Linked DNA regions of Cricetulus griseus. The protein of the gene in region 3 purifies or fractionates together with the protein of the main gene of each other region. This does not show direct contact. Links are inferred from orthologs where the notes say so. Each region holds a gene or a part of one and is shown on either strand. Other genes may lie near its edges.

The links.
Region 1: the proteins of Nup133 (region 3) and Nup98 purify together in Homo sapiens (affinity purification with mass spectrometry; 6 studies listed by BioGRID and IntAct, with this or other methods). This does not show direct contact. The link is inferred for Cricetulus griseus from reciprocal best matches to the Homo sapiens genes NUP133 and NUP98.
Region 2: the proteins of Nup133 (region 3) and Ahctf1 purify together in Homo sapiens (affinity purification with western blotting; 3 studies listed by BioGRID, with this or other methods). This does not show direct contact. The link is inferred for Cricetulus griseus from reciprocal best matches to the Homo sapiens genes NUP133 and AHCTF1.

The regions. Positions count from the first base shown.
Region 1 is NC_048596.1:97,176,100-97,180,232, forward strand, and holds the start of Nup98 (nuclear pore complex protein Nup98-Nup96), read left to right. Parts: upstream 1-1,280; 5' UTR 1,281-1,419; intron 1,420-1,510; exon of another isoform or gene 1,511-1,657; intron 1,658-4,133. UniProt on the Homo sapiens protein: Plays a role in the nuclear pore complex (NPC) assembly and/or maintenance. NUP98 and NUP96 are involved in the bidirectional transport across the NPC. May anchor NUP153 and TPR to the NPC.
Region 2 is NC_048598.1:14,465,666-14,468,891, forward strand, and holds the end of Ahctf1 (protein ELYS), read left to right. Parts: intron 1-899; coding exon 900-976; intron 977-2,255; coding exon 2,256-2,451; 3' UTR 2,452-2,702; downstream 2,703-3,226. UniProt on the Homo sapiens protein: Required for the assembly of a functional nuclear pore complex (NPC) on the surface of chromosomes as nuclei form at the end of mitosis. May initiate NPC assembly by binding to chromatin and recruiting the Nup107-160 subcomplex of the NPC.
Region 3 is NC_048596.1:200,581,402-200,583,728, reverse strand, and holds the end of Nup133 (nuclear pore complex protein Nup133), read left to right. Parts: intron 1-875; coding exon 876-1,012; 3' UTR 1,013-1,705; downstream 1,706-2,327. UniProt on the Homo sapiens protein: Involved in poly(A)+ RNA transport. Involved in nephrogenesis.

The DNA.
Region 1 (4,133 bases), about 100 Mb from region 3:
TGAGACCTCAATAACGAGACAGGTCTGATTTCTAGAACATGCCCACTCCTCTGCTCTTAGCTAGATCCCAGGAGGAAACAGACACCAAAAGGATGAAAACGCAACTTTGACCAACACCAGGGGAGGGAGGAGTCTAAGAATAGAAAAATAAGATACAAAGTAACAAGTCCTGATAAGAGGACCGCCCAGGCATCACCCCAACTTGTTGAGGTTAGCAAATGCGTCCTGGAGAAGGCAGTACATTTGCACCCAATCCATCCAGAACAGCACAGGTTCTGAAGCTGCAGCTGAAGCAGAACCCTCATTGGGATCAAGCCTTATAATAGACCATTGCTCAGATCTACCTTAGAGATTCAGAGGAAAGGATGTGAGAAGACTTGCTTGGACCGGCAAGAACAACAGTGGGGACTGAGGGTCTCTGAAGGGCTGCTGATAAGCCACATGGATTGATAGGTATCCCAAAAGGGTTTTCAAGCTCCGAAAGTGCCAGCTGGGTGGCCTGAGAGCCTGCCCATCATTACCCGCAGACTTGAACTAAAGAAGGGTAGAACAGTTACCATGTCATCCTTGGGCCTTCCCTCTGATTGGCCGGAGCTTCCGTAGCCCGAGTCTCCGCGCTCCAAGGAAAGGGGCGGGGTCTCGGCACAACGTCACCGCTTTTTGGTGCTCACTATTCTAGCCACTCCCCAGCCCTCTTCGAGGGGCCGTGTGTGACGTCGCGAGTCTCTATCAGCCAACCGTCGCGGCAAAAGGGGTGGGACTCCAGGTCCCTCCCCACCATCCCTCTTTTTTTTTTTTTTTCTCCCCACCCAATTCCTCACGCCCCTCCTCTTCCCCTCTACTCCTTCTCAGAGACCGCCTTCACGTTCGGTTTCAAAAGGCTCGTCGCCCAATGAGTAACACGGTAGGCCTCGAGTGGCGGAACGGCCTGCCAATGCCCGGCTGGCGAGGGCGGAACGCCCGGGGCTGGCCTCTGACGGCGGACGGCGTGTGACGCAGTCGGGCCTCTGCGCGCTGCGCCCGAAGCGGCGGTCGGTGGCGGCGGCGGCCTCGGCGGCGGCGACGGTTTCCTGGTGGCCGCGCGCTGCTCTGTGAGCGGCGGGTGGCAGACGGACCTGGGCCCTCACCCCAGACGCACCGCGGTAAGTCGGGAGTGCTGCTGGGGCCGGGCGGGCGGGTCCTCTTCTTTGGACCGGCATCTGCGCGGGACGCCCCGGGCCCTCAGCCTCCCAGTCTCGTGCGGGGCGCGCTCCTTCGGGCCTGCGTGAGGGGGCGGGGCCCGCGGCCCTGCGGCTTGGCTCGGGAGGCCCTGGGAGGGAGTCCACACGCGTGGGGCGTAGGCCAGGGGGCCTCGGGTGGCAGCCCACGCTGAGGGAACCTCGTTGTCTCCGGTGCTACTCATTCATTCGCTGGGTAGAGGTGAGCAGCCCGCGGTAGGCTGGCCCTTGCGGGGATGGTGCCTTGGGGACTCAGTGAGGTCCCCCCCCCCATCACTTCTTTGACCACTCTACAGTACGCGTCTTGTCTAGGGTTAACCAGAGGGTTGAGTGAGTCGGAAGTGCGTTAGCTTTTTAAGACATTGTCTGGCGATTGGAGGGGTCTGGTCAACCGAATGAAAGGTTCTTTTCTGTTCTGCCGCATGTTCGTGTAAACCGAGGTGAGAAAGATTGGATTCTTGAATTACTGTAGCCATAGCGTTTAAGACATTCTATGTCAATGCCCCCATTCTGCATCACGTGCAGAGGTTTTGTAAGGTGGGAGAGGACTCAGTAATGGCAGATGTCTTGACTCAAGCCTAGAATTTTTATACTATTCCACCCTCCCTGTATGTTCCAGTCTCTCATTATTGGCTGTTCTGTATTTGGTAGGGGGAAGGAAACGGACATTTGACATAGTGTTCAAAACATTTCCATTTAGGTGCTACCATTTTTGCTTATATAGTAAGATAATAGAACTTTATTAGTATTACCTCGATGTAAACTTTTGGGGAGCTCGGGGAGACAAGATCTCATTCAAATCCTGGTTGATCTGGAATTCACTATGTAGGTTTGCCACGAAACCAAAGAAACCACTTGCCTCTACCTCCTCGGTGCTGGGATTAAAGGTCTTTGCCATTACAACCAGCCCTAACCTAGACTTTTGAGAACTAAACTTTAAAAATAGTTCAAGAGGCAGGCTTAGTGATGCACGCCTTTCATCCCAATACTTGAGAGGCAAAGGCAGGCGGCTCTCTCTGAGTTCAAGGCTAGCCTACTCTACATACTGAGTTCCAGGACAGCCAGAGCTGCACATAGAGACACTGCCCAAAAAAACCCAGGCGTTGGGGGTGAGTAAACCCAATATAGGGGCTGCTGGAGAGACCCCTCAGCAGTTATGAACACTGACTGCTCTTCCAGAGGAGCTGTGTCAATTCCCAGCACCCACATGGCAGCTGTCTGTGACTCCCAAGTTCTGACACCCTCACATAGACATAGATGAAGGCAAAACATCAATTCATATAAAACAAAAATAATTTTTTTTTTTTTTTTTTTTGGTTTTTCGAGACACGGTTTCTCTGTATAGCTTTGGAGCCTATCCTGGCACGCTCTGGAGACCAGGCTGGCCTCAAATTCACAGAGATCTGCCTGCCTCTGCCTCCCAAGTGCTGGAATTAAAGGTGTGCGCCACCAACGCCCAGCTTAAATTATTTTTAAAAAGTCAATATAGATGTGGTGTTGCAAGCCTGTAGTGTCACCAGTAATGGAAGTTGAGGGTGGAGAACTAGAGCCCAGGAGTTTGAAGCCAGCCTGGACAACATAGAAGATCCATCTCATTTAAGAATTGTGGAGGGCAGCCAGGCGTTGGTGGCTCACGCCTTTAATCCCAGCACTCGGGAGGCTAGAGGCAGGCAGATCTCTGTGAGTTCAAGGCCAAGCCTGGTCTACAAAGCTACACAGAGAAACCCCACCTCGAAAAACAAAACAACAACAAAAAGGATTTCACGAAATTAGTTGTCAGTTTGATTTGAACATACTTATCAGCTTGTAGATTTGATGTTTATATAAACAGTAAAACCTAAAAGCAAGTAATTCAAGAGAACAGAGGAGTTCTGTGGTATAAATATTAAAAGTTGTGACCTGGTGTTTTTTTGTACTATTTTATCTGTTTGGACATCACAACCTGGGAAACTTTTCCTGGTATGCTTTCCTATGTAAGCTTTCACACACTTCCTTACTGATACTTCTGCTTGTAGCACACATTTTATATTTCAAGTGTTTGTCTTTTTATTAGGTTATGATAAAATTTATATTTTTTGGTCTTTCTGAATGTCCTTAAACCCAGCACTTCATGCTGGACGGTAGTGGCGCACGCCTTTAATACCAGCACTCGGGAGGCAGAGGCAGGCTGTCTCTGTGAGTTCGAGACCAGCCTGCTCTACAAGAGCGAGCTCCAGGACAGCCTCCAAAGCCACAGAGAAACCCTGTCTCAAAAACAAACAAACAAATAAAACCCCATCACTTCAGAGGCAGAGGTATGTGGCTCTCTGGCTTTTTGTTCAGTCTGGTTTGTAAAGCAAGTTCCAGGCCAGTCAGGACTACAATATGAGACTCTGCCTCAAACATAAAATAACATGTATATTAATTTGTATTTAGGTTACATGGCTCATCGGCCTCAGTTATATTTTTGTGAATGAATAAATACAGAAAAATTAAACTGAAAAATATTCCAGAAAAAAGGCTAGATATTTGTGTACTTCTGAAATACTTTTTTTTTTTCTTTCTTTCTTTTTTTTTTGTAGCCACTAGCTCCTAGGTATCTAAGAATAACTAAACTTTTACAGCACGCACCAAATTCACAGATTAGGAAAGTAAGTTATTTATTGTCATATTACTGTGTACTAGCAGTCTAGGACATAGAGTATTGTAATATTGATTAATTTCTAGTAAGAGACTTTGTAAAATTCTGAGATTATTATAATCTGTAAATCAATGAGTATGGTGGCATGTGCTTTTAATCTCAGCACTGGGGAGGCAGAGGCAGGTGGATCTCTGAGTTTGAGGCAAGCCTGATTTACAAAATGAGTTCCAGGACAGCCAGAGTTGTTACACAGAGAAATCCCAATCACACACACAAGAAAACAAAACACACACAAA
Region 2 (3,226 bases), on a different chromosome or scaffold from region 3:
AGTTCAATTCTCAGCAACCATATGGTAGCTCACAACCATTTGTAGGCATTTGCAGGCAGAACACATAATAAATCAATCTTTAAAATGCATTTTAATTGACAGAAATGAGTAATTAGTTTGAATAAAGTCTTTCAGCCCCGAACCTCTGTATATATAGGGATAGGGGTGAACTTTCTGTCAGAAAAGCAACAGCTTCAGGAATTCATAAGCATGGCAGGGCAGTGCTACCGAGTAGACGTGTAGGTTTCAGATAGTTTCTGTGGAAAGTATTCTGGGAAGGAGGAAACCCATCTCTGGTGACCCGGTGCCTTCAAGATGACGAGAACCTGGACTTACATGCAGCTCAAATTGTGTTAACTCAGGGCAGTGGACACTGGAAGCACAAGACTTGGAGAATGGGCACCTTGTGGAAGTCGGGAAAAGAACAGTTCTTTTCTAGATTATCACATTTTCTACTAAAGAGCTAGAGGGGCCTGTCTAGGACCTGGGGTTTTTAGTGATGTTTGACTCCTTAACTGAGCAGGATACTTTTTTGGGGGCGGTTTTGAGACAGGGTTTCTCTGCAGCCCTGGCTGTCCTTGAACTCACTCTGTAGACCAGGCTGGCCTCAAACTAAGTGATTCGTCTGCCTCTGCCTCCCAAGAGCTGGGATTAAAGGCGTGGGACACCACTATCCAGCCCAGCAGGATACTTTTAAAATCAGACTTTAGGTGGTGTACATCTTTAATCCTGGCACTTGGGAGACAGACATCTCTGAGTTTGAGGCCAGCCTGGTCTACAGAGCAAGTTCCAAGACAGCCAGAGAAGGAGAAGCCAACAGAGAAATTCTGTCTTAAAATCAAAAACAGAAAATTTTTAATTGCTTAGGCAATTTATATTTTCTAATTTTTAATCCGTAGGAGAGTGACCCTAAACCACTAGAAATCATAGAAGAACAGAAAACAAGAAGCAGGACTGTGAAGACAAAAGCAAGCAGGTAAGCCTTTATCTGGAGCCCCTAGGAAAGGGGGCTTCTCAGACGTGCCTAGCACTGGCTCCTTACATTGGTAGACAGCCCAGTGTTGACAGTAACTAGCATTCTCCACAGAGTGGAGACGGGTAGCCTAAGTAGTTCATTGTCCACTGTGTGGGACTGGGAGAGAAGATAGTTTGTTGTTTCATTAGTGGCAATATCACTGTATCTGCGGTAAAATTAGTCCATTTGAGATAGTTTTGTTTCACAGTATTCTGTTCATGCTGTACTTAGGCATGGCTATTTTTAGTAAACATACAAATTAATAAACACGATGCAGTTGACTAATGACACTACTCATACGTAAATTGTCAATGTGTTTATGATATACATACTTACCAGTTGCTACTCTTTTTGAGTATTACCCCCCCCCTTTTGTGGCACACCTAAAGCTGAACCCTGAATTGCCTCCCCCCTTTTTTTTTTTTATTCTTAGAGTAGGTCTTTAGAACATGTAGTCTTTGCTATACTGGAACTTGCTAAGTAAACCAGGCCAACCTCAAACTCAACAGCTATCCTCCTGCCTCTCTTAACTGAGTACTGGAATTTTCTTAGCCATCACACCTAACATCGGAATTGGAACTTTTTTGTTTTGTTTTGTTGAGACAGGGTTTCTCTGTGTGGCTTTGGAGGCTGCCCTGTCACTCAGCTCTAGACCAGGCTGGTCTCAAACTCCACCTGCCTCTGCCTCCTTTTGAGACACACACACAACACACACACACACACACACACACACACACCACACACACACACACACACACACACACACACACACACACACAGGTCTCAAACTCCACCTGCCTCTGCCTCCTTTTGAGACACACACACACACACACACACACACACACACACACACACAACACACACACGTCTCAAACTCCACCTGCCTCTGCCTCCTTTTGAGACACACACACACACACACACACACACACACACACACACAGGTCTCAAACTCCACCTGCCTCTGCCTCCTTTTGAGACACACACACACACACACACACACACACACACCCAGTGCTGGGATTAGAGGCATGTGCCATAGGTATTTGGGCCATGCTTGTAACGCAGCAGTGTTCATGCGTCTATGTAGCTAAGTATGTCAGCGCACATGGGCATGGGTGGGGGCTGGCACTTTAACCCTGCCTGCCACTGGCCCACAGCTGTACTTTGGCTGCCTTCGCCTGTCTGCAGAAGGAAGCACTTGACACTGTGCTGCTCCTACTTGAGTGTATCTCTCTTTCAGAAACACAGGAAAAGGAAGTTCTTGGTCACCTCCTCCTGTAGAAATTAAGCTGATTTCTCCCTTGGCAAGCCCAGTTGATGCAGTAAAGGTCAACAAACCAAGAAAAACTACAGAAGCAGCAGGAAAAACTCTTGGAAGAGGCAAAAAGAAGCTGTCTTCCTTTCCAAAGCAAATTTTACGCAGGAAAATGCTGTAATTTTTAGCCCAAGATTTTAACATGTACCGTTTGTAAAGTCATCAGTATTTGTGTGAATTATTAAAAGTCACCTGATTTGAAAGGAAATAATTTATATAAATTGTACAATTTTGTAAACAAGTAAATAAGTAAAGTAACTCCATATGGAGTGGGGTTCTTCTAGTTCAGGCGTTTTATAAAACTTCATACGTTTATATAATATGTAAATATGGCTTATTATTAGGATGTTAAATAAACTACTGTAAAGTATATACTGTGTGTCTGTTAGATTTTTGAGGGGATTTCTGTCTTAGTCGTGATTTTATATGCTACTAGACATTTGTCCATTTTCTTTCTCATTGATACTAGAGTCAGTCTTACAATGAGGGTGGGAGACTGATTCTTTTTTAAAGTTGCTGTTTTATAATTTATGCACTTTGAGTGTTACTCAGATTTCTAATCATTACATGTACTTTCCTTGGACTTTGCCTGATAGTGTGTTGAATTTGGATTGTGGGCATGTGATTGCCTTTTTGTAGTTTTACAAATTTTGTATAATCTACCTCAAAAGAGTAATTTTCCAGTACTGCTTTGGTTAACTATAATGCTGGCATTTCTTGTTCAGTAACTTAAAGACTATCTTGTCTCTCAGTTCAGAGACTAATTATCCAGGTTAGATTGACCGGTTCACTGCTTCTTAGCAACCTCATGGAAGGATTTGAGAAGGAGATGTGAATAAATCTGCTCCAGATAACTCAGTACACCTGGTGTGTGCCTGATGTTGAGAAGAGGGGTC
Region 3 (2,327 bases):
CATTATAAAAAATTCAAAAAGATGGTGCTGGATGCTTCAAGAATATTTTTACTGGACAAGTACTCCCCCCCCAGGATTATCTTCCTTAAAACCAGACAATCTGATATTCATACAACAAATTATATGATCTTATTCATTTAAAAGTTTTCGTTCCATTTTCTTGGTCAAGTGAGGTTAAATGTAATTGCTGTGGCTTCAATAGTCCATTGATTGGTGCTTCCTGGCTTTCCTGACCCCATTATCCTTCTAGTCTCTGACTCAGTTGAAATGCTGCTGTATGTGCGTTTTTATTTCTTTGGGACTGTCTTACTGTGCTGTCCAGACTGGTCTTGGGCTTTCAGGTTCAAGGGATTCCCTCCCTCAGCATCCTGAGCACTGGAAGGACAGCCATCCACATTAAACTGATACCTTTATGGTATTGTGGCCAGCTCTGTGACAGTATTTCTATTATATTATTCCCCAGTTAGGGTAACACAGAAATGACTATTAGTTGAAAACTTCTGCATTGAAAGAATGTCTTTTGATTTTTTTTTTTTCAAGACAGGGTTTCTCTGTGTAGCTTTGGAGCCTATCCTGGCACTCGCTTTGTAGACCAGGCTGGCCTTGAACTCACAGAGATCTGCCTGCCTCTGCCTTCAGAGTGCTGAGTGCTGGAATTAAGTGTAGAAAATGACAATTGCAGACTATTGCAGACCTCACCTGAAGTGGCTGCTTTGACCAGTGAGAGCCTGCAGGTGGCACTGAAGAAGCTGTTGTCAGACCTACGGCACTGTGATTAGGAGGAGGCTCCAGTATGGGGCATGTTAGTGACTGGCGCCAGCCTCTCATTCACTGGGGAATCTCTGAAATCATAAGTGACTGTGTTTTGTTTGCAGGCATCCAGCTCAGCGAATACTTGCCAGAGGTGAAGGACCTACTTCAAGCAGACCAGCTGGGAAGCCTGAAATCCAATCCTTACTTTGAGTTTGTTCTAAAAGCAAATTATGAGTATTATGTTCAGGGACAGATATGACATTTGTAGAAATTGTTGCTTCTAAAATTTTATAAATATTTGCTTATAAAAATTTTGATGCCAAAAAAGTAAGTTTTAATCAGTTTAAAAGTTTATATAATTTCATCTGTGGCAGCCAGGTATTTTTTCAATGCTTTATTTGGGAGCTATAATATAAAATGGGGCATAACCCTGATTTTCTTTCAGTTGTAAGATATTTTCTTCTCATTTTCTACTTGAAGTCACCCTTGTTTCTGTGTTTCTGCCCTTTCTCCAGTCTCCCTTGGTCCAGTGAGGCATGCAGTTTTTCTCTGGCACTGCCTCCTTGTGCATAGTATGTCTGTTTTGAGGATTGTAAGGTTGAGTCAAGTTTGGTGACATGTACCTGTAATCCCAACACTAGAGCCTGAGACAGGAAGATACTGAGTTCAAAGCCAGTCTGGACAGCATAGCAAGGTCTGGACTTGAAAACCAAAACAGATTGCCACTCCCTCCCCCTAGTTCGTTATCCAATGTCAACCTTTAAATAATATACATACAAATAATATTTTGTGGACCGAGCAGGTTGTGCTTATATATTTAGGTCAACAACTAAAAGAGGCCATGAATTTGAGTGCAGGGGAGCATGGAGGTGTTGGAGGGGGCATGGGAAAGGAAAAATAATTTAATTATATTTTAATTTCAAAAAATTAAGGAAAACAGTGTTTTTCAAGATTGCTCTAATCTGTCTTTGGAGTCACTGTGACTCTGGATTTGGTACACTAAAGATCCTCTGGGATGTTGATCTCTCTTTAGGTCAAAGCCAGAGGGACGTACCTACTTAGCAAACTGAATGTCAGATTTTATTGACTTACTATGTGACTGAGAAACAAATATAGAGGCTCTTAACTCATGAAAGGTGACAGCTGGTAACTCATGGGGAATGTTCCTCACTTTCTACATTGATTAAAACAAACAACAACAAACATGGAGATAGGGTCTTACTATGTAACTGGATGATCTGGAATTCACTATTGTAGACAGGTTAACCTCAGACTCATATCCACCTGCCTCCTAAGTCCTGGAGTTAAAGGACACCACACCTATCAATAATGGATGAATCTTAAAAGTGTTTTAGTGAGTAAGATGTTTGTGTGGCTTTCTGAGCTATCAGTAAATTGTCACTGCTACCAAATATGGTGATTACACTGGCTGTAATCTCAGTATTGAGTCAGTGAGCCTGAGTCTATGATTTCCTGATTGTTTCCAGTTTCACCATAGTTGGTCCTTTCACAAACACTGCCCATGGATGTTGTTCTGTAAACCCCAGTAAGGGGCCCTGGGGGTATAGAGGCAG